3 linked regions of the Oryctolagus cuniculus genome follow. The protein of the gene in region 2 interacts with the protein of the main gene of each other region in a biochemical or structural test. Links are inferred from orthologs where the notes say so. Each region holds a gene or a part of one and is shown on either strand. Other genes may lie near its edges.

Region 1 (7,816 bases), on a different chromosome or scaffold from region 2:
ATATAGGTATTATGATAGGAAAAAGGTCACTTGACAGATCAGTGCCACAGAGTGGTAGAAAAACATCATTTGCAAAGCTTCTTTTGCTAACAGTTAACCAAGTAGCTAATTCTTCTCACAATGTTTATATTAATCAAGCAGTACATAAAGAATTATGAACTCACTGCATCAGTGTATGGACAAATAGACATTAAGATTTAGAGGTGCATATGCTCTCAGTGTCTAACTCGGCTGGAAATACCAAATTATCTTGCACATTTCTGTTACAAACTTAAGTTTCATATTTTAAGGGAAGAGCCAGAAAAAGTTAACTACTGAGATCTTTGCATAAACAGATAGGTTGAGAAAGATACAGTTGTATCATAATACAACATAGTGGTTGCTTTGTATATTTATGAATATAAGAATAATACCTTATGTTGTGATTATCAGTGGGAAAGAGACCTTATACAGGAAATTGATCCTAGTTGCAGAGTTTCATAATAGGGGCTGATTGTGGTACAGCCAGGTAAATCAACTCTGGCAATGCAAGCATCCCTTTATCAGAGTGCCATTCACATCCCAGCTTCTCTGCATCTGATCCAGCTCCATGCTGATGTGCCTGTGAAGGCATCAGATGGTGACTCAAGTGTTTGGGCCCTTGCTGCCCATGTGGGAGCTCTGGATGTAGTTCCAGGCTCCTGGGTTCAGCCCTGCCCAGCCCCAATCATTGTGGCCATTTAGGGAGTAAACCGTTAGATGGAAGATTACTATCCACCCCCTCCTTCATTTTCCCACTCTTTCCCACTGCCTTTCAAATAAGTAAAATTTTTTTTTAAATTTCTAAATAGAAAAAGATTACATAGGCCCATCCAGTGTCTTGTCTAGTAAATGAATCCCTTTTATAATTATTTGACTTTTCCTACCTTGTGTATTTACCTTAATCTAGAACAGATAGGGACATTATAGAATTACAGTGTTAGACGTACCACAGATAAAAATAACTTCTAAAGACTTTTTCATGCAGGAAAGAATTATAGAACTATTCATATCTCAAAATGGCAATTGATGTTTATACGAAGAATGATAAAGAATCGGTTATGCTTGGGGACCCACACTGTGCCATAGGCTGGCATCCCATATGGATGCACACTAGTCTCAACTGCTCCATATCCAATCTAGCTCCCTACTAATGTATCTGGGAAAGCAGGGCAAGACAGCCCAAATAATTGGGCCCCTGCACCCATTATGGGAGATCTGGAAGATCCTTGCTCCTGGTTTCAGATCTGACCATTTCAGTCCGTTGCGGCCATTTGGGGAGTGAACTAGTGGGTAGAAGATCTCTCTTTCTGTAACCCTGCCTTTCAAACAAATAAATAAATATTAAGAAAAACTTAAGTTGTCTTAAAAATAAAAAATCAGTTAATGCTCGCAGTTGTCCAAGTTAATGGACTATTCTTTCCAACATGAGTTCTGCATGAAAATTAAAGCCCAGTGCCCCTGAAACAGAGATTCTCAGAGTACTGTCTGGAACCTTGGGAGATCCTGAGACAGTTTCAGGAGTCTGAAAGAATAGTCTGGTTTTCACAATAATTCTGAGACTTGACTTGCCCTTTTTTGTGGTACTAACCTTTATGTTGGTGTTGCAGAAGCACTTACAGATTTAAAACTTCTGGTACCTTAGTATAATTTAAGATAGTGGCACCAAACAAACTTTTTTTTTTTTTTTTCATTTTCGATTCTCTTTATATACAGAAGATCAGTTTAGCATACATTAAGTAAAGATTTCAAGTTTGCTCCCACACAGAAACATAAAGTGAAAAATACTGTTTGAGTACTAGTTATAGCATTAAATCACAATGTACAGCACACTAAGGTCAGAGATCCTACATGAGGAGTGAGTGCACAGTGACTCCTGTTGTTGACTTAACAAATTGACACTCTTGTTCATGGCCTCAGTAATCACCCTAGGCTCTTGTCATGAGCTGCTAAGGCTATGGAAGCCCCCTGAGTTCACCGACTCTGATCATATTTAGACAAGGCCATGGTCAAAGTGGAAGTTCTCTCCTCCCTTCAGAGAAAGGTACCTCCTTCTTTGATGACCCGTTCTTTCCACTGGGATCTCACAGAGATCTTTCATGTAGTTCCCCCCTCCCCCCCAGAGTGTCTTGGCTTTCCATGCTTGAAATACTCTCATGGGCATTTCAGCCAGATCTGAATGCCTTAAGGGCTGATTCTGAGGTCAGAGTGCTGTTTAGGACATCTGCCATTCTATGGGTCTGCTGTGCATCACACCTTCCATGTTGGATCGTTCTCTCCCTTTTTGATTCTATCAGCTAGTATTTGCAGACACTATTCTTGTCCATATGATCCCTTTGGTTCTTAGTCCCATCATTATGATCAATAATGAACAGAAACTGATCACTGGGACCAGTGAGATGGCATTGGTACATGCTACCCTGATGGGATTGAATTGGAATCCCCTGGTATGTTTCCAACTCTACCGTTTGAGGCAAGTCAGCCTGAGCATGTCCCAAATTGCACATCTCTTCCCTCGCTTATTCCCACTCTTATATTTAACAGCGATCACTTTACAGTTAAGTTTCAGCACTTAAGAATAATTGTGTATTGATTACAGTATTCAACCAAAAGTATTAAGTAGAACAAACAAAAAAATACTAAGAGGGATAACATATTAAGTTGCTCATCAACAGTCAGGGTGAGGGCTGATCAAGTCACCATTTCTCACAAACAAACTTTATAAAATAATGTTGTATTCAGCATTATACCCTCAAAGAATAAAAACCACTTCTCTTTCAAAATGTCCTCAATGAAGGAGTAAAAAAAAAATCTTTTGTTAAATCTTGACCCTTGGTCTCATGGATCTTCAGTTGAAAGAGACTAGGTTAAGATTCTTTATAAGCATGTGGTATGGAAAAACACTTTTCATAGCATTTGTTACAATTCATTCTCTGTAGGTAAGGTATTCAATTCAAATGTAGGACTATGGCTCTGTAAGTACTCTTGAAATTCATTGATGATGTGTAAAACATACTACTTGAACTGGAAAGTAAGAGGTGTAAGATTCGAAGGGCCTGCAAATGAAATTGAAATGGTACATACAACCCACACATTATTGAGTTTTAGAGAATAAGATTTGTTAGGTTAAGACAGCCTTTTTGTGGAGCAGTTTAAAGCTAGGTCAAAGAATTTACCTTGATAAAGTAAAAATAAGCAACCATCTCTTAGTTTATATAGGGGGATGATCAGGTTAAGCTTTCTAAAACAATTCCCTTCATATAGTAGTGCAGAGGATTCCAGTTGGGTAAAGATTTGTGTTAGGCCACACTGAGGATTACCAGCTAAACCTTCAATCTTCTACATCTGAAAATAGACACTGGATTTTTTTTTTTTTTTCCCAATGAGGACAGGAATCTACGTGTATTATTTACCTTAGTATATCCAGCATCTCTTTAGGTATTTCCCTGTATGATGGTGTACTTACTCCATTTCTCTTTAGTTGCTGAAATGAAAATGTTGTTGAGCTTTTATGCTCTTTAATTTTTTAAGTGTAGAGTAGGATGAAGAATTGAACACGAATATCAGCAATAAAATACAGCAGCAATTTAAGTCTTTTGTCTTTTGACTGTTGTGACCTAGTGTGAATAATTTTGTATATTTTGGTGATCTCTTAATTCCTTTCTTAGCAAGGTAGGTGTTATATAGAGTTTGTCTAGTTCCTTCTCTGAGCTCAAAAGTAAGTAATACTAACATATATAAAACATGTAGATGTGGGCGTTTGGCACCTGAATTCCTATCAGAATGCCTGGAGATTCAAGTCCCACCTCCACTTCCAATTTCAGGTTCTTGCTAATGTGCCCCCTGGGAGGTAGCATGTGATTGCTCAAGTACATGGGGCATTACCACCCATGTGGAAGACCCAGATTCAGTGCTAGGCTCCTGGCTTTAGCCTGGCCTAGCTTCAGCTGTTCAGGGCATTTGGGGAAATGAATCAGCTAATAGAAGGTCTCTCTCTGTCTCTGTCTCTCTGCCTCTCAAATTAATAATTTACATAAAATATTTAATTTCTTTTTATAAGTTATCTTCAGGACTCATTAAGGAATAACATTGTACTAATAGTGGTTCATAATTGATATTTTTGTAATTTTTATTCATCTCTAAATTTAAGTCATAAATTAATCTTTTTATAAAATTAGCAAAAAGATTGCATTAAATAAGTTATGAAATATTTTCAGGGACCCATGTTGTGGCATAGTGGGTAAAACTGCCACCTGTAACACTGGCATTCCATATGGGTGCTGGTTCCAGTCCTGGCTGCTCCAGTTCCAATCCAGCTCCCTACTAATGTGCCCCAGAAAGCAGTGGAGGATGGCCCTATTGCTTGGGTCCCTACACCCATGTGAGAAACTGGAATGAAGCTCCTGGCTTCAGCTTGGCCCATCCTCAGCTGTTGTATTCATTTGGGGAGTGAACCAGAAGATGGAAGATCTCTGTCTTTTCCCCTCTTTTTCTGTAATTCTGCCTTTCAAATTCACATGAAATTTCCAAGTTGAGAATTGTACCAAATATTCAGATTTATGACAGTGTCAAATATGAATTTGGATCATTTTAATATTGTGTATCATCAAGTTTCATAAGGAGCTTATATGTATACATATATATTATGTCTTACAGAAAGCTTTTGTCCAGTGATCGAAATCCACCAATTGATGACTTAATAAAATCTGGAATATTACCTATTTTAGTTCATTGTCTTGAAAGAGATGACAAGTAAGTACAAGTTCTTTGTTTTTAATTTAGTATGTACCCTTTGAGAAGGAAAGATTTTCTAGTAGATAGTTTGATCTTTAAAGAAAAAAGACAGGAGCTATGGGATGGAATTGAAAAGTCAAAAGGAATGGGAAAAATGATGCAAATTATATTTATGCCAACAGATGAAGGTAAAAGCCAAAGAGGGACTTAGTTTAAGTTTTGAAAATTAACAGGAACTAGGTTGAGCATGTAGGTACTTGAGAAAACAAGGCCTTGGAGGTTTCAGAAATGCTGAATGTTTAGAGACAAATATTTAATATATTTAAAATACTTGTGGACAGCGATGTTGATAGAAATTTGTACCAATGTGAAAATAACTACTGTTTGAAGTTATTTGTTTTTGTTTATTTGTTTTGTAGTCCTTCTTTACAGTTTGAAGCTGCATGGGCTTTGACGAACATTGCATCTGGAACCTCTGAACAAACTCAAGCAGTAGTTCAATCCAGTAAGTTGCTTATTAACAAATAACATTGTATTTTTTCAAAAAAAAGTCAACAGAACCCGCTGATTCTCCTAAAAAAATATAGCTATTTATGTTGTAAAGTTATAGCTACTCAATAACATGTAGAGTTGTTGAAGTAGACCAGCCTAGCAATCTTATTCAGTTGACCAACACACTCTGTTTCTAAAACTTCATTTAATTCCTTTCAAAATCTGGGTAATTTCCTAATTGTAATAGCAGATTATATTATTATAGTTATACTTTATTTATAGGACATCAGAAGAAATAAAATTATTTTTCCCATTGCCATACTGTGTTTCAGCTTCTCTTAAAGAAGTTATGTTTTTGGGGCCGGCACTATGGCACAGTAGGTTGATCCTCTGCCTGCAGCGCCGGCATCCCTTATGGACGCCAGTTCTAGTCCTGCTGCTCCTCTTCCAATGCGGCTCTCTGCTGTGGCCTGGGAGAGCAGTGCAAATTGGCCCAAATGCTTGGGCTCTGGCACCTGCATAGGGGACCCAGAAGAAGCTTCTGACTCCTGGCTTTGGATCAGCTCAACTCCAGCCGTTGCAGCCAATTGGGCAGTGAACCATCAGATGGAAGACCTCTCTCTCACTCTCCCCTCTGTGTAACTCTGACTTTCAAATAAATAAATAAATAAATATTTTAAAATAGTAATAATAATACTAACAGGTATATTGTTTTCATGAGTACTATTTAATTTTTCCGCCAAAGAAATTAATAATTTTTAAAAGGAACTTTAAAAATGCATCTTAAATATGTAAGCAGTATACTTGTCTAAGCTTGTAAAATCGTAAGCACTAATCTTTTGATTTTGAAAGGGAACAAAAATGATATCTAAGTTAGTACCTTATTATGTAGATAGTTGTAATATTAGAAAAACAAATTACCTTAAATTCTATTAAAATTAAATTTTGGATTCATATTTTTTTTGTTTTATTAAATGTGATTTTTTTTTTGGTTTTATATGGTTGACTCCTAGGTAAATTTTATTTTTTCAAGACAATATCTTATTCCCTACCTTTTTCCTTTTCTGTTTCATATGGTCTTTAAAGATCAGAAAGAGGTTTTTATAAGTAATCATCATTAATCTACATGTATGAATATGAATACTTGTGTGCACCAAAAGTTAGCATTTAATCCATTTTCCACAAGCTTTTGAGGTACCTCATATTTAAATAGCATTTTTCAAAGTTATATGGGAAAGAAAGAAAAAGAGTCACTTGTTCAGTGTAATACTAGTCTGTTCAGACAAAGGCCTGTCTTGTGTTTGCCATCTTTATTGAGCAATACAATTACTTCCTGATTCAGAAGGTCTCAAGTGGTCCAGGAATCACTGGCCTGTCTGTTCAGCCACATGATGTTTATTTAAATTAAAGTGCTTAAAAGTTATTTCAATATTGGAACTTTCTTCTCAAATTTGATGAATTAATCTTTTTTTAAAAGAATTATTTATTTATTTGAAAATCAGAGTTATACACAGAGAGAGGAGGAGAGGCAGAGAGAAAAAAAGAGGTCTTCCATCTGCTGGTTCACTCCTTCACTCTCCAAACGGCCACAATGTCCAGAGCTGGGCCTATCCAAAGCCAGGAGCTAGGAGCTTCTTCTGGGTCTCCCACACAGCTGCTTTCCCAGGCCATAGAAGAGAGCTGGATGGGAAGTGGAGCATCCAGGACTCGAATCAGCGCCCATATGGGATGCCAGCACTGTTGGTGGTGGCTTTACCACACTGTGTAACAGCGCTGGCCCCTGAATTAATCTTAAAATTAGGTTTAAGCCCAGGTTTAATTGTAAATGAAATTTTATGAACTTTATTTGATATTTGTTTTAAAACTCATTTCGATGCTAATTAAATTATCTGCTAGTCAGAATTCTTCCAGAAGTGCTGTTTCTAATAAAAAAAATTTTTTTTAAGACAGAAAGGTCTTCCATCTGACAGTTCACTGCCCAATCAGCCGCAACAGTTGGAGCCACACTGATCCGGAGCCAGGAGCTAGGAGCTTCTTCCGGGTCCCCCCCCCCCCGCCCCGCCCCGGCGAGTGCAGGGGCGCAAAGACTTGGGCCATCTTCTACTGCTTTCCCAAGCCATAGCAGAGAGCTGGATCGGAAGTGGAGCAGCCAGGTCTCGAACCGGCACCCACTGGGATGCCGGTGCTTCAGGCCAGGGTGTTAACCTGCTGCGCCACAGTGCTGGCCCCAGTCTGGCCCCAATCTAATAAAAATTATTTAATGAGGATATATTTTTGATAGATTCTATTTTTATTTTGAGATATCAGCAAAAAAATTCAGTTTTTTAGTAGTTTCTTTATGAAGCTAGCATTGTGGTACAGTGGGTTAAACTTCTGTTTGTAGTACCAGCATCCCATATCAGAGTCCCAGTTCAAATTCGGGCTGCTCCACTTCTGATCCAGCTTCCTACTAATGCTCCTGGAAAGCAGTGGATAATGGCCCAAGTTTCTGGGCCCTTGCCACCCTTGTGGGAGATGCAGATGGAATTCTGGCTCCTCACTTCAGCCTGGACCAACCATGGCTTTTGAAGCC
Region 2 (7,816 bases):
GCATGCGGCGATGACGAACAGCTCTGCCAGGTGAAGAGCTCTTTCCAAAGTCAACAAGAGACCAACAGTCTTCCTTCTGTTGCATCCCACCCCTTGTGATTCTCAACCAACACCAGACAAAGCCGCACAGGAAGGAGGAGCGGGAGTAATACACCTCCACAGCCTCCCCAGAAACACTGTCTTCATCAGGCACTGTGTTCCCTCTCCCCCTCCTTCAAGCACCAGGCACTTGTTCACAAGTGAGCATCAGAATCAAAGACACAGCCCATCTGGGTAACACACACTGGCCAGCGGACTAAGGGAACTAGGTCGTATACTCAACGGTGCACGTTCTCCTGATCCCCCTTCAATCCCTGGACGATTCCGGTGTAGGCCTCCAAGCAGCTTTCCCTCAGTTCATTTAGATAATCCACCATGTCATAGTCTGACTGTAAGAGACAAAGAACAGAACCCCCAGCAGACTGATCAGCTGTGGCTGTTTGCCAACATTTGGAAAAAAAAGATGCGCAGAATAGTTTCATGCTCACCTTGTCCACCTGGGCTTGGGAGGCCTGCTGAAGTGTGTTCAGTACAACCTCTAAGTATTTTTTAAATTCCCCACCAAGAGCAAGGGCGATGTCACCAAACACGGACAGTATCTGTGGCTTCACCGACCTGTGCACGTTCTCATTCTGCCGGGAAAAAGAGAAAAGTAACAATAAATAAAGCCAAACTTTTTCAGTCAAAAGACTCATAAAACTTTCCTTTTTTTTTAATTTTATTTTTATTTTTTGACAGGCAGAGTGGACAGTGAGAGAGAGAGACAGAGAGAAAGGTCTTCCTTTGCCGTTGGTTCACCCTCCAATGGCCGCCGCGGCCAGCGCGCTGCGGCTGGCGCACCGCGCTGATCCGATGGCAGGAGCCAGGAGCCAGGTGCTTCTCCTGGTCTCCCATGGGGTGCAGGGCCCAAGCACCTGGGCCATCCTCCACTGCACTCCCGGGCCACAGCAGAGAGCTGGCCTGGAAGAGGGGCAACTGGGACAGAATCCGGCACCCCAACCGGGACTAGAACCCGGTGTGCCGGCGCCGCTAGGCGGAGGATTAGCCTAGTGAGCCGCGGCGCCGGCCCAAAACTTTCATTTGTAATAAGCAACTACTACTAAGTACTTGAATGCCCCTTCAAAAATTAACTGTGGTTCATCTCTGCAGAGATTATGTGTTTACTTTTCCTTGGTAATCGACAGCTTCCCCCCAAGTGAAGCAGGCATCCTTTACAACCTTTCACTGGAATCATCGTGAACATGACGATGGGATTCTCCAGGCTGGCTCCTGAGCATGCGCAGACACTCACCCCCAAGTTCTCCAGCAGCAGCTGCATGACCTCGTCACAGAAAGGCAAGATGTTGGACTGCAGGGCACGGCATAAGTCTCCCACCAAGCCCACAGCTGCCAAACACACCTGCAGAGAACCAAGGAAATAATCGGCCTGACAGAAAAAGCTGCCTGCACGGGAAGACATTAGTTTTACCCAGCTGCTGGTCCTGCATCACCTGAACTTATTCCCCCCTTGCTGAGATTAAGACCAATGTGGCAGGAAGGAAACTAGGACTATTCCCAGACACCACTGAGTAAGGAAAGACAATATTCACCAGGGATGGCGGTGGCAGACCAAGGTGGGGGGGTGTTTCAAAAAGCCTTCCTCTTTAGGGTGCTTCAGAGTGTAACTCTGCCGTTGCCTTTACACTACCTAGACATTCGCTCTGTGCTTCTCACGTGGTGTAGCCAACACCCTGTTTTTCACAGCCTACTCCTTGTTCAGACAGAGGCAACAAATAAGGTAGCTGGACTTTTGGAGCAAAGCTGGGGAAACCATGTAGGCTACAGAAACCTGCTGCTGTCTGTTCTACAGTGACTCTTGCATAAATGTCAAAAGCATATCCTACCTGGTACTCAGCATAATTTTTCAATCCAATGCCCAGGAAGGGTTTAAAGGCCTCCATGTACTTGAGAAATTCACCACCCAACACTGTAATGAAACAAACTGTTAGCTGAAGACTGCATCACAGGACGGCAGATGTAGACAAAAATGACCATCCTAAGTCTTACTCAACATGGCAGGGTGGAGTGAGAGTTAATTATTCTAAGACAGTAAGGCTGTCTTGCACAAGCCAAGTTTACAACTGCTGGAAAGGCCTAATTCTTAGGCCCTCGAGATAACACCACAGCCAGTGCTCTGCAGGATGGGGTTTTAGCTGGCTGAGACAACCAAGTGGTAGGGCCCTCACACAGGATGGAGGTTAGCTGTGAACTGGCTGAGCCAGCAATAAGGCCTCTTGTCTCGGCAGCTAATCACAACACATGCCCTAAGGCTAGCTTCAAAACAGGGTCCCCAGGCAATCCCATCGAGCACTTAACAAGCCACAGCCAAGAAAAGCAGCACTGGCCTTTGGATACGAATCAGCCACTCCAGGAGCCAAGATTAACTTCCTTGCCCTCTAAGGGCAGTCACATTATGCCAGTTCAGTTGGACATAAGCTCTGCGCACCAGAAGTAGGTCTGAACCTCAGGAGAGTCCTCCTCAGGGCACGGCCTTAGTAAAATACTTGCAGGTCACCCCTGAAGAGATGTTCTAGGTTTCTAAAGTGCTCTTTAATGTGCTTTTGCTTCCCCATGCCGAATTCCTACAGCACGTTCAATGTTTCATCCTATGGCATCCCAGGCACTGTGAACACAAAGCACTACTGCCCAAACCAGGGGCTTCCAAGTGCCAGAGAAGGAGAGAACTTTCACTTCTTCCACCCTTGACAGGCGCCAAACATCAATAAAGTAAGTTGACTTTCAGGGTAAGAAGGAACCTGATGAACACGGGAGAATTAATTCAGTTTCCACCAATCTGACTTAGCTGCAAACTGGCGCCCCGTTTACCTTAAGAGTGGCAAGGCAATCACTCAGGTTCAATCCAACTTTGAACCAACTCACACCCCAGTGAAAGATCTACGCTTTTTGCAGTAAAAAAGAAAAAAATTCTCCAAGGCCACTCAAACGCCTACCTTCTACAGAAACCACCTGCCCAGTCCCTGCTCACTAACCTTCCACCAGTGTGCTAACTGCCATCAGGGCATCCTCTTGCACTCCCCCAGACCCAGCTGTGCTCTGGAACATCCTCAACAGGGAAGCCATGACCACATCAGAGATCTGCAAGGCATCTTGATGCTGCACTTTGCGGAGTACATTCTGTGAAGTAAGTAAGAATTCAGGATCCATTAACTCCAAATCCTTCAACCACAACACTATACCTTTTGCTTTCAAAATAAATTAAGTCCTTTGTTCATTTTTGGAAGATCAAATATACACTTTAACTTAAGAACTTTGACAGTGCAAATATGCATTACAATGCTCACTCTAGTATCTCAGATTCTGTTTATTTATTTATTTATTTTTTATAAATATATTTGAAAGGCAGTAAGAGAGAAACGGAGAGTAAGTTTCCATCCAATGGTTCACTCCCCCCCAAATGGCCACAATGGCCAGAGCTGTGCCAGGCCAAAGCCAGGACCCTGGAGCTTCTTACAGGTCCCTTACATGGGTGCAGGGGCACACCACTTTCCCAGGTGCCATCAGTTGGGAACTGTATTTTAAGTGGAGCAGCCAGGACTTGAACTGGTGCCCTTATCGAATGCTGGTGTCACAGGCAGTGGCTTAACCTATGGTGGCTATGCCACAATGCCAGCCCCAGATTCTATTTCTTGACTCAAAACAAAACCCACTTAGTCCCACCACCTGAAAAACTGCTAGTAGTTTCCATATTCCAGCCTTACTGGAGTAACAATTTGTTTTAAAGGTTACATCACTCATAAATAAAAAACAAGCCTTCTTACACTCCAACCCACATACAGATAGCAGTCAAAAAACAGTCTGGATAAAAATGAAGCCAGTCTGACTTCTCCCAAGCCATACTCATCACACTCCAGGGTACTCTTCCATGTGCCTCACCTAATGTTACCAGATCAAGCAGTCCTGTATTTTCTCTGATGAAAAAGGAAGATCCCAGGAGGCTGGCACTGTGGCGCAGTGGGTAAAGCCACCACCTGCAGGGCCAGCATCCCATATGGGTGCAAGTTCAAGTCCGGGCTGCTCCACTTCTGATCCAGCTCTCTGCCTATGGCCTGGGAAAGCAGTAGAAGATGGCCCAAGATCTTGGGCCCTTGCACCTGTGTGAGAGACCCAGAAGAAGCTCCTGGCTTCAGATAGGCCCAGCTCAGGCTATTGCCGCCACTGGGGGGGTGGGGTGGGGGGTGTGTGTGAAATAGCAGACGGGAGATCTTTCTCTGTCTCTCTGCATCTGTCTCTGTAACTCTTCCTTTCACATAAATAAAGAAAAAGGAAGATCTCTTAACCATCATGCCTTAAAAAATGAAGTATGGGGTAAAAAAAAAAAAAAAAAAAAGGCAAAGTTTACAGGTAAGATGACCTTGTTAGCATTAATGAATATTCCAGAACTTTCCTGTTCTGTGGCAGATTAGGAAATAGCTCCTTAGCCACTTCATAAGCAGAGAACGACGTTTCAGTTCCCCAGTCACTCAAAAAAGCCTACTGTGAACACAACGATAACGAAGCTTCCAACAGCAACTGCTTCAAAAGATGACGAGTGTCTGGTGCAGCGGTTAAGACACTGCTTGGGAAGCCCCACTGCTCTCTGTAGTGCTCGGGTTTGAGTCCCAGCTCCACTTCTGATTCCAGCTTCTTGCTACTGTGCACCCTACAAGCCAGCAGACGATGGCCCGAGTGCACAGGACCCTGCCACCCCCACAGGAGACCTAGATGCAGTGCCATGCTCCAAGCCTCAGCCTGGTCCAGTCTTGATTGTTGTGGCCATCTGGGGGTGAACCTCCAGACAGAAGACCACTCTCCGCACCCCTCTCTCTGTCACTCTGCCTTTCACATATTTTTTTAAGACATAGAAAATGTAAAATTTGTTTAACAACAACAAAGACAAAAGTAGAAACTCAAAGATATATATTTGTAGCCAAGTAAACCATAGTTGGAAGTCAAATCTAATTTTAGTTTGTACAACCTAATGACAACCAAGACTAAAAGGAGCTAATATAAACTAGCTGTACAGCTGGGAGAGACCATCACACACTAAGTAATTTCCTTCTTTATACTGTGAAAAAGACAAACTTGATTTTTCTGGATAGACAGGAAATTACTCTTCCAATCAATCACAGCCCAAAGCCTTCTGAGAGCTTCAGATCAGCACCATCTATCTACACCTACACAACTGCACAGCTCTCTGTGTACATGAACTTGTCATCCTGAGACACGCAGTTTCTTCCTCTGAGCTAGTAAGAAGTGATACAGCTCTAGCATACCTGAAGAGTTGCGCAGAGTAAAGACTGAAGGTCATTGAACTGGATCCTATCGGATGTGCTCTGGATATGTGACTATAAGATAAAAAAAGAAAACGTGTTCTAAAGAGAATCCTTCCACTCTTGTTAGGGTTCCTGAGACCATTAAGTTATTTTTATTAATACTAATGTAGGAAAGCAAATAAAAACACATAACCCACATGCACATGAGTAAACTGTGCCAAGTAATGCTTATGTAAAGTTGTAATAGTTTCTGTATAGCATGACATCTTTCTAAGAAAATACATACTGAAACACCAAACAGTCGTGTGTCCAAGGTGCTGCCCTCTCCAACAGCCAGGGATGCTGACTCACCTCCATCTGAAGCACCTGCTGCAGCCGCTCCATGATGACCAGGGTTGTTTTCTGCACTGCAGGGTAGCAGTCCTTGGCGCTGTTTTTCACGATCTCCATGAGAGATTCATACGCAGAACTCCTCAGGTTGTTCTGGTGGCCATCAGGTCTGCACAGAACACACAGCAAAGTTTTTAAACCTCAACTGATTAAGAAAGGACAGAGGAGCTGTTATGACATAGACACTGGCCAAAAGTAAGAACCCAGGCTGACATGATTGGAGGCCAGGCTTGAATTTAGCAACAAAATATCCAAGAATCCAACTTCCGAAAAGGTCTCTGCAAGCGATGTCTACGTTGGTTATGGTCTCCAGACCTGTTAAAATGCCCAAGTCGCAGGGCCGGCACTGAGGCCTTAGTGGGTTAAGCCGCTATCTGCAGTGTCAGAATCCCATGGGTGCTGGTTCAAGTCCCAGATGCTTTTACTTCCAATCCAGATTCCTGTGCACCTGGGAAAGCAGTGGAGGATGGCCCAAGTCCTTGAGCCCCTGAGCCCACATGGGAGACCTGGAGAAAGGTCCTGGTTCCTGGCTTTGGATCAGGCCAGGTTCGGCCGTTGCAGCCATTTGGGGAGTGAACTAGTAAATTGAAGGTTCTCTCTGCCTCTCAAATAAAAAAAGGGCCGACAACGCGGCTACTTGGCTAATCCTCCCCCTGTGGCACCGGTACCCCAGGTTCTAGTCATGGTTGCTCCTCTTCCAGGCCAGCTCTCTGCTGTGGCCCGGGAAGGCAGTGGAGGATGGCCCAAGTGCTTGGGCCCTGCACCCGCATGGGAGACCAGGAGGAGGCACCTGGTTTCTAGTTTCAGATCGGCGCAGCGCGCCGGCTGCAGCAGCCATTTGGAGGGTGAACCAACGGAAAAAGGAAGACCTTTCTGTGTCTCTCTCACTGTCTAAAAAAAACCTCTGCCTGTCAAAAAAAAAAAAAAAAAAAAAAAAAGCTAAAGTGCCTGGAAAAGCACTCCTACTCTCCCTTCTCATGTGGGAAAACCGGATGAAGCTCCTTGCTCCTGGCTTTGGCCTGGCCCAGTCCAGGCTGCTGAGTTCATTTAAGCAGTGAACCAGCTGACAGAAGATCTCTCTCTCCCGACGTCTCTCCCTCTCTAATTTTGACTTTCAAACACATAAATTAATGTTTTAAGTGCCCATGTTGCACCCTGGAGTCCTTGGGTTCCATCCCCAGTTCTAGCTCCTGGATCCAGCTGCCTGCTCATGCACATGCGGGAAGGCAGCGGTGTTCACACACGCAGTGAAGCTCCTGCCACCCATGTGGGGCATCTGGGTTGCACTTCCAGGTTCCAGCTTCAGCCCTGTCCACTGTGGGCATTTGGGGTGAACTAGCAGATTGGGAGCTCTCTGTATCTCTCAAAAGGTCTGAAATAGGGCTTTCTGAAATGTGTAATGGAATCCTAATTTAGGGACAACCTCTAATCTTTGTGTTTTGTGTGAACTGAAAAGTAAACCATCAGGAAGGGACCAGACATAAATTCTTCCGTGTTTAACTAGTCCTTCCCCATTGCTCTGTGCAAGATTGTATAAAATGACATCTCTTGGTGAATGAAGAAAAGTGGGGTATACTCTCGTAGAGAGCCAGACACTATCTTGATTTGTCCAGGAGCCAAGGACTCAATCTAGGCCTCCCATTTAAACGGCAGTAAGAACCCAATTACTTCCGCATCTCAGGAACCACCTTAGCAGAAAGCTGGAAATCAGGAGCCACAGCGAGCCAGGCATCAAACTCAAACCCAGGCGCTCCAATACGGAATACAGCATCCTAACTGCTAGGTCAAGTCCCCACCCCAACTCTTACCTAAACTCGGAGTAGAGAACCCTTTTTTTCTGTTAAGGGCCACTGGGTATTTGTAATATCATTAGAAGACAATTAAAAATTATCAACTTAAAAATTAGCCTGCTTAAAAAATTAGTTTGCTAATAAATAACTAGATTTATTGAATTTCAAGTCCCATCTGTGGTTGCCCTGGCAGGTACAGACCAAATGATTTCATGGAACTTATATGTCCATGGGCTAGCCATTCCCCACCCCTGTAAACAAGTAATTTCTTTCTTCTCTTTTTTT
Region 3 (7,816 bases), on a different chromosome or scaffold from region 2:
TAGAAGGGGCCCGGATGGCATTTGTTAGATCTAATGATATTGTGCTAAAAGTTCCTGAGGCTCTGTTCATTTTCATCTTTTCATTCCTTCTTTTTCTATTACTAAGATCGGATGGCTTTTATTGCTCTGAGTTTGAGTTCATTGATTTTTTTCCCCTGTATTTTTTTCTTTTCTGAAACTGCCTACCTTTGGTTTAGATATATTCATAATTGCTCACTGAAGCATTTGTTTGATAGTTATTTGAAAGTCCTTGTCCAGTGTCCTATGTCATTTCTGGGTTGGCGTCTGTTGATTGCCTTTCCTCTTTTGTGTTGAGATTTTTTCTGACTCTTGATATGGTAGTAGTTTTCAGTGTGGCTGTATGTTTGAGGTGTTAGGTTGTCTGACTGTGGTTTCTGTGTAAATCTTGTTACCTGTAACTGCCAGAGTGGTTGGTAGCCAGGCTTTGTTCACACCTACGCACCTGTATACCCCTGGCTGGGAGACCTTCTCACTGCCACATGGAGTAGTAAATGAACTCTACTCTTAGGCATAGCTTTTGCCCTCTCATTTTTTAAGTTGAAATATTTTTCCAGCCCTTGATCTACGATCAGATGTATTAAATGCTCACCATCAGACTCCCACTGACGTTTCCTCAGTCATTTGTTAGATGAAAGAAGCTTATACTCTAGTAAGGTTTTGGATAAAGGTAGAGCTAATGTTTTTGGCTTTGCAGGGTACAGTTTTGTGTGCCCCCCCCACCCCGCTCTTTTAAGATTTATTTATTTATTTGAAAGGCAGAGTTAGAGAGATTGATCTTCCAGCTGCTGGTTCACTCTCCAAATGGCTGCAGTGGCCGGAGCTGGGCTGATCTGAAGCCAGTATCCAGGAACTTCCGGATCTCCCACATGGGTTCAGGGGCCCAAGCACTTGGGCTGTCTTCCGCTGCCTTCCCAAGCACATTAACAGGGAGCTGAATTGGAAGTGGAGCAGCTGGGACTCCGACTGGCGCGATAAAGGATGCTGACACTGCAGGCCACAACATCAGCCCCCAGTCTCTGGCCTTCTGAGATAAACTCCTCACTCTTCTTTGAAGTCTCACACAGAGCTTAGGACAGGAGGTTCAAACAAAAACTAGAATTCATTTTTTTCTTTCCTTACAGGTAATTTGAAATTTCTAGTATTCTGACTTGCAGTAATGCTGAAGGCTTGGGTTGTATATGGTTTTATTTGCTCTTCTTATTTATATGCTTTTTTGAAGGATACATGATTTCAGGTGGCTGCTATTGTTCTAGGGCAGCAAAGTGTCAATAATACGAATCTTACATGAGACGAGGCTGGTGGTTGTATTCCTCTATGAAGACACCAAGGAAAGCCATGTACAAACTCCTTTATGTTGAATGAGTTCATGAAGTCTCTGAGCCTAGTTTTTTTTTTTTTTTTAAATAATTAATTATTTATTTATTTAAAAAGCAGAGATATTTATCTGTTTAGTTTTTAATAGTCTGCAAAGTTGAATTACTAAGCATTTGAAAATCAGTAGAATAGGTACATAATCTTTTTAGTGTCTTCTAGACTTGAAGTAGCATGTTGCATTGACCTCATTCTTTATATGTTTTCATGTCATTATTTGGTTTCTGACTTCGGGAGCGGAAAGAATTTCTGTTCTGCCTTTTTTCTTTTTTTGTTTTGTAAGATTTATTTGAAAGGCAGAGTGCCAGAGCAGGGAGAGAGAGAGAGAGATCTTTGATCCGCTGGTTCATTCTGCAAGGACAGCTGGGTTAGCATAGGTTGAAGCCATAAGCCAAGAATTCCATTTGGTCTGCTTCTTGGGAAGCAGAAATCCGACTATTTGGGCCATCACTGATACCTCCCACGGTCATTAGCAGGAAGCTGGATAGGAAGCCAAGACTGGTATCAAGCATTCTTATATGGGACACAGGTTTCCCAAACAGTGGCTTAACCTACTACACCACAACACCTGCCCCTCTGCCTATTTTTAAAATGATTTGTCTAATACATAAATGCTAAGATGGGATAAAAGTTGTCCCAGACTTCTATGTGTCAATTTTGTGCAGAGTGATCTGATACGGACTTTGAGAGAGGGTGTAAGGACCTACTACTTTCAGTAGATTGATATTTTTGTTTACATGCCGAAAGATAAAACTTGGTTACCTTTTCTGTCACCACTTCTGAGATATGTTCTGTAGTTTAGGCATTGAAACAAATACATGAACTGGATATTCTGCTTTCCTTCCTGTAGATTCTTGTAGACACTGTTTGGGCTCTATCATACTTGACAGATGGAGGTAATGAGCAGATACAGATGGTTATTGATTCTGGGGTTGTGCCATTTCTTGTGCCCCTTCTGAGCCACCAGGAAGTGAAAGTTCAAGTGAGTATTTTAAATCTTTTTTACTTGTATAGAATTATGGCTGCTATAATTAGTTAATTTATACAACTGTGCTTAAATTCTGTCTATAAACACTTATTTTCCAGATTTTTCCCATAGTCCCTTATGATGATTTTGTTGATTTCCAAATATTTGTCTCCCTCAGATTGTTTGCTGGATTTCAGACTCATAGCTAGTTGATTCTGACCATTTAGACATCCTCTGAGAAATCCTACAAGCTTTCCATTGTATTCCAACCAGACAAAATTGAAATGATCTTCTCCCATGAACCTGTTCCTCTTCCTGTATCCCCTTTCAGTGAATAGCGTGGTCTAAGTTAAAAACCCTGAATTCTTTTTTTATTTTACATTCCATTATCAAGTCTTTTATGATTATTATTTTTTGGTATAGCTTTCAAATCTGCCTCTCCTTACCTGTATTGAGCTGCTATTTAGTGCAAGATTCATGTTTTGTGTATTTTTTTATACTTCTGATAATTCTGATAGCTGCTACTGCCCTACTTCTGCTAAAGTGACTGCAGCTCTTCTTTTAACATCTTTTTGTGGTGCCAATTTAGTAATAGGTAAAAATTGCTGTTTAAAAATAAATATTTGGTTTTTATTTTAATTCCCCTCTTTTTAAATTTTTTGCAAGAATTTTCACATAGTTTCTCCATAAAGTTCCATTTTTTTCTTGTGGGATTGCTGTTTAAAATTCACAGCTGCTCAGTCTGCTTGATGCCTAGTCTGAGAATGAAGAAAGTGTTCATCGTTTACCCTTTGCGTTTTTACATTTTCTCAGAATTATGAAACACATTGACTCAGTTTCATCATAAACAAACAAACTTAGAGAACATTTTATCCCCACTCTAGACGGCAGCACTCAGAGCAGTTGGCAATATAGTGACCGGCACTGATGAGCAGACGCAGGTTGTTCTCAATTGTGATGTCCTGTCACACTTCCCAAATCTCTTATCACATCCGAAAGAGAAAATAAATAAGGTAAGACATGTAATGTCCTCATCATTATATTTCTTGTTTTTTGTTCACCTCGTTTTTAACTGTCCCCTTGTTTCTTTGATATTCATTTGACTAATTTTCTTCAAAACCACTGTAATTAAGATGAGAATTGTTTTAAATGCCATCTGTAATTGTTTCTTTGAACTTTTTTAAAATTTATTTGAGAGGCATGGTTTTTTGAACTTTAAATTTTTCCTCTAAGAGGTTCCCGGATTATCACAGAATAAAAAGTATTTTTAGATCAATTTTTTTTTTTTTTTTTTTTTTTTTTTTGACAGGCAGAGTGGACAGTGAGAGAGAGAGACAGAGAGAGAAAGGTCTTCCTTTGCCGCTGGTTCACCCTCCAATGGCCGCCGCTGCAGCCGGCGCACCGCGCTGATCCTGGCAGGAGCCAGGAGCCAGGTGCTTTTTCCTGGTCTCCCATGGGGTGCAGGGCCCAAGCACCTGGGCCATCCTCCACTGCACTCCCTGGCCATAGCAGAGAGCTGGCCTGGAAGAGGGGCAACCGGGACAGAATCCGGCGCCCCAACCGGGACTAGAACCCGGTGTGCCGGCGCCGCAAGGTGGAGGATTAGCCTATTGAGCCACGGCGCCGGCTCTCAATTTTTTTAATTAAAAAAATATTTATTGAGAATCAGTGATAAAGGGAGCACTTCCATCCCCTGATTGACTCCCCAGATGCCTTCTGAGGCTGAGGCTGAGCTGGGCTGAGCTGAAGCCAGGAGCTGGGAACTCAACCCAGGGCTCCCCCGTGGGTGGCAGGAACTCGTTTACTTGAGCCACCACTCTTGCCTCCCAGCATGTACATTAGCAGGAAGCTGGAGTCAGAAACTGGAGCTGCGTATTGAGACTCATATAGGATGCAGGTGTCTTAACTGATGTGTTAAGTGCTAGGCTTTATATTTAAATAGATTGAGGAGTAGACACAGCATTAAATTGGTAGCCCTAGGTGAGCGAGCATAGAAAATCTGCCACTGAAATGAATGGTATCCATTCTTTTTTTTTTTTTTAAGATTTATTTATTTATTTATTTGAAAGTCAGAGTTTACAGAGAGAAAAAGAGAGAGAGGTCTTCCATCCGATGGTTTGCTCCCCAAGTTGGCCTCAATGGCCAGAGCTGTGCTGATCCGAAGCCAGCACCCAGGAGCCAGGAGCTTCTTCCAGGTCTCCCATGTGGGTGCAGGGGCCCAAGGACTTTGGCCATCTTCTGCTGCTTTTCCAGGCCATCGCAGAGAGCTGGTTTGGAAGTGGAGCAGCCGAGTCCAGAACCGGCGCCCATATGGGATGCCAGCGCTTCAGGCCAGGGCGTTAACCTGCTGCGCCACAGCACCGGCCCAATGGTATCCATTCTTAAAGAGAGAATTTAATCTCCCTATAAAATTGAGATCTAAAGTGGAGATCCTAAATTCAAAGGTCATAAGAAACTGTTACTTTTTAAGATTTCAAACTTTATATATAAATCTATTGTTAATTTTGTAATACTTAATTCTTTTTATGTGTGGCTTTCTTCACATAGCGTATTTTCAGAATCATTCATTTTGTAGCATGTGTCAGAACTTCATTCCTTTCTTTTTATTTATTTATTTATTTGAGTGGTAGAGATAGAGAGAAGGAGAGACAGAAAATTCTTCCATCCACTGTTTCACTCCCCATGTGGCCACAATGGCTGGAATGGGCCAATCCGGAGTGAGGAGCTTCGCCCCGGTCTCTCACGTGGGTGCAGGGGTGCAAGCACTTGGACCATCCATCCTCTACTGCTTTCCCAGGCCATTAGCAGAGAATTGGCTCAGAAGAGGAGCAGCCAGGACACTAACTGGCACCCATATGGGATGCCAGCATTGAAGGCGGAGGCTTAGCCTACTGATCCATGGTGCTGGCCCCAATGTAGTTTTGTTTTTTTGTTTTTTTGTTTTTTTTGTTGTTTTTTTTGACAGGCAGAGTGGACAGTGAGAGAGAGAGACAGAGAGAAAGGTCTTCCTTTGCCATCGGTTCACCTTCCAATGGCCGCCGCGGCCAGCGCGCTGCGGCCGGTGCATCGTGCTGATCCGAAGCAGGAGCCAGGTGCTTCTCCTGGTCTCCCATGCAGGTGCAGGGCCCAAGGACTTGGGCCATCCTCCACTGCACTCCCGGGCCACAGCAGAGAGCTGGCCTGGAAGAGGGGCAACCGGGTCAGAATCCGGCGTGCCGACCTGGACTAGAACCTGGTGTGCCAGCGCCGCAAGGCGGAGGATTAGCCTAGTGAGCCACGGCGCCGGCCCTCAATGTAGTTTTATCTGCCTAAATTGCTGCCATTCCCCAAACAAAGCAGAATTGATCATTTCTTCCTCTGTTTCATAATTAAATATTAATTATCTAATAATTAAAATAGTTGCTTGACTATATTTTGACGGCTAGATTTTTAATGAAAAGAAGGTTGTCAAAAATCATTTATAGATACAGTTGTTCAGTGAAGATGATGAAACCAGAAACTTTGAGACTCTAGGCCAATTATTTTTTACTATAGAATTTTCCACAATATAAGGTGATTGTTATAGCTGAGTGTATCCATAATTGGAAACAGCTAAGAAATGAGGAAGCCAGATAGAAGTAAGTAGAGAGAGGTTTTGCTCTGTGATACAGTATGTCCTTAAATGAAAGTATCATAGGGGGAAAGGAATAAGTATGTATGAGATGCCTACTTGACTAATGGTAACTAATATTATAATACACCTATCTGTGGCTTGCAAGTCCTTTACGATTTGAATATTTGTATTCTATAAATACATCTTAGACTAGTTAGATGCTTAGTTTCTGTAGAATAGTTGAATTAGTATTTCTTGTGACTAAATGTTTGTAAAGCAAAGCAGCTTTATTTAACATAGTATTCAGAAATTCAATCTTATGTTTATTTCTGTCTTTCAGAGGGAGCTAATATAAAGAAATATAAGCTCCATAGAGATTTTTATGTTTTGTTTTCTCCTATATCATCATTCTCTAGAGAAATGCCTGGTGGCTAGTGGACTTACATATTATTGAATGATTAAGACCAGATATACGAGACCCAAATATTATAGATGGAAGTTTGCTTGTAACTCGCTTAAAATGAGAAGCTTTATATAACCTAATCCTTTTTAGATGCAGTCTCTTTAACATGGGCAGCTTTGTTACTGTGTATGTAAGATATCTTAAAATAAAAATATAAAAGCATTAAAGATATGATTTCTCTCATTAAAGTGACCTGTATTTTATTCAATTAGGAAGCAGTATGGTTCCTTTCCAACATAACAGCAGGCAACCAGCAACAAGTTCAAGCTGTAATAGATGCTGGATTAATCCCTATGATTATTCATCAGCTTGCTAAGGTCAGTTATATCATGAGTTCCTTCGTGTTTGCTTTGCTGTTACAACCAAGGCTTTTTGGACAAAGAATTCATTTTATGATTTCTTTTTTCAACCTTCAGGGGGACTTTGGAACACAAAAAGAAGCTGCTTGGGCAATTAGCAACTTAACAATAAGTGGCAGAAAAGATCAAGTGAGTTTGACAAAACTCTCATTTTAATAGTGGAAAATATACTATTATGATGTTTAGGAGTTGCAAATTGTTTTTAAGCTCTGTCCTGTGGCCTTTTTGGGGGCAAGGTAATTATGTAAATAAAAATGCTTCTCTTCTGTTGTCTAGGTTGAGTACCTTGTACAGCAGAACGTAATACCACCTTTCTGCAACTTACTGTCAGTAAAAGATTCTCAAGTTGTCCAGGTGGTTCTAGATGGTCTCAAAAACATCCTCATCATGGCTGGTGATGAAGCAAGCACAATAGCTGAAATAATAGAAGAATGTGGAGGTAAGAGTGGATTGATTGAAGACAAATCCTTAAGCACTAGAATTCTGAAATATTAGTTCCTTTAAGGTCAATTGATTAGAAAGAAAATTATTAGCATACAGTGTTGTTAAATGACTGAAGTATATTTCTCTTCTCTACTATTAGGATTCTAAGAAGATTTTCCAAAACACATTAGTCCATACTTTGTAAACATTGGTTGTGAAGGTCACTTTTCTAGAGATTGACATTGCTTTTTAATAGACACTATTACTCCTTTTTTTTTTTTTTTTTAAGATGTATTTATTTGAAAGGTAGCATTTGGGGCAGGGTAGTGGGAGGGTGAGTGGAGAGAGAGATTGTCCATCTGCTAGGCAATCTGAAGCCAGGAGCTTCTTCCACATGGATGCAGGGACACAGTATGTGGGCCATCTTCCACTGCTTTCCCAGGCGCATGAGCAGGGAGCTGGATTGGAAGTGGAGCAGCCAGGACTTGAACTGGTGCCCATATGGGATGCCAACACCACAGTCCCTCACTTAATCCACTATGCCACAGCACCAGCCCCGTCACTAATATTCCTTTTGAAGTCAGTGTATGGTAACAAATTAAAAGGTTTGCTGGGGGCAG

The links. The genes of interacting proteins can lie anywhere in the genome.
Region 1: the proteins of KPNB1 (region 2) and KPNA4 form a complex in vitro, tested with the Homo sapiens proteins (2 studies listed by BioGRID and IntAct, with this or other methods). The link is inferred for Oryctolagus cuniculus from reciprocal best matches to the Homo sapiens genes KPNB1 and KPNA4.
Region 3: the proteins of KPNB1 (region 2) and KPNA3 form a complex in vitro, tested with the Homo sapiens proteins (2 studies listed by BioGRID and IntAct, with this or other methods). The link is inferred for Oryctolagus cuniculus from reciprocal best matches to the Homo sapiens genes KPNB1 and KPNA3.

The regions. Positions count from the first base shown.
Region 1 is NC_091435.1:120,213,598-120,221,413, forward strand, and holds part of KPNA4 (importin subunit alpha-3), read left to right. Parts: intron 1-4,674; coding exon 4,675-4,770; intron 4,771-5,171; coding exon 5,172-5,257; intron 5,258-7,816. UniProt on the Homo sapiens protein: Functions in nuclear protein import as an adapter protein for nuclear receptor KPNB1. Binds specifically and directly to substrates containing either a simple or bipartite NLS motif.
Region 2 is NC_091448.1:24,008,602-24,016,417, reverse strand, and holds part of KPNB1 (importin subunit beta-1), read right to left. Parts: intron 5,851-7,816; coding exon 5,703-5,850; intron 5,424-5,702; coding exon 5,352-5,423; intron 3,214-5,351; coding exon 3,069-3,213; intron 2,006-3,068; coding exon 1,923-2,005; intron 1,439-1,922; coding exon 1,331-1,438; intron 672-1,330; coding exon 528-671; intron 429-527; coding exon 323-428; intron 1-322.
Region 3 is NC_091440.1:69,010,703-69,018,518, reverse strand, and holds part of KPNA3 (importin subunit alpha-4), read left to right. Parts: intron 1-2,242; coding exon 2,243-2,374; intron 2,375-3,243; coding exon 3,244-3,372; intron 3,373-6,626; coding exon 6,627-6,731; intron 6,732-6,830; coding exon 6,831-6,902; intron 6,903-7,049; coding exon 7,050-7,212; intron 7,213-7,816. UniProt on the Homo sapiens protein: Functions in nuclear protein import as an adapter protein for nuclear receptor KPNB1. Binds specifically and directly to substrates containing either a simple or bipartite NLS motif.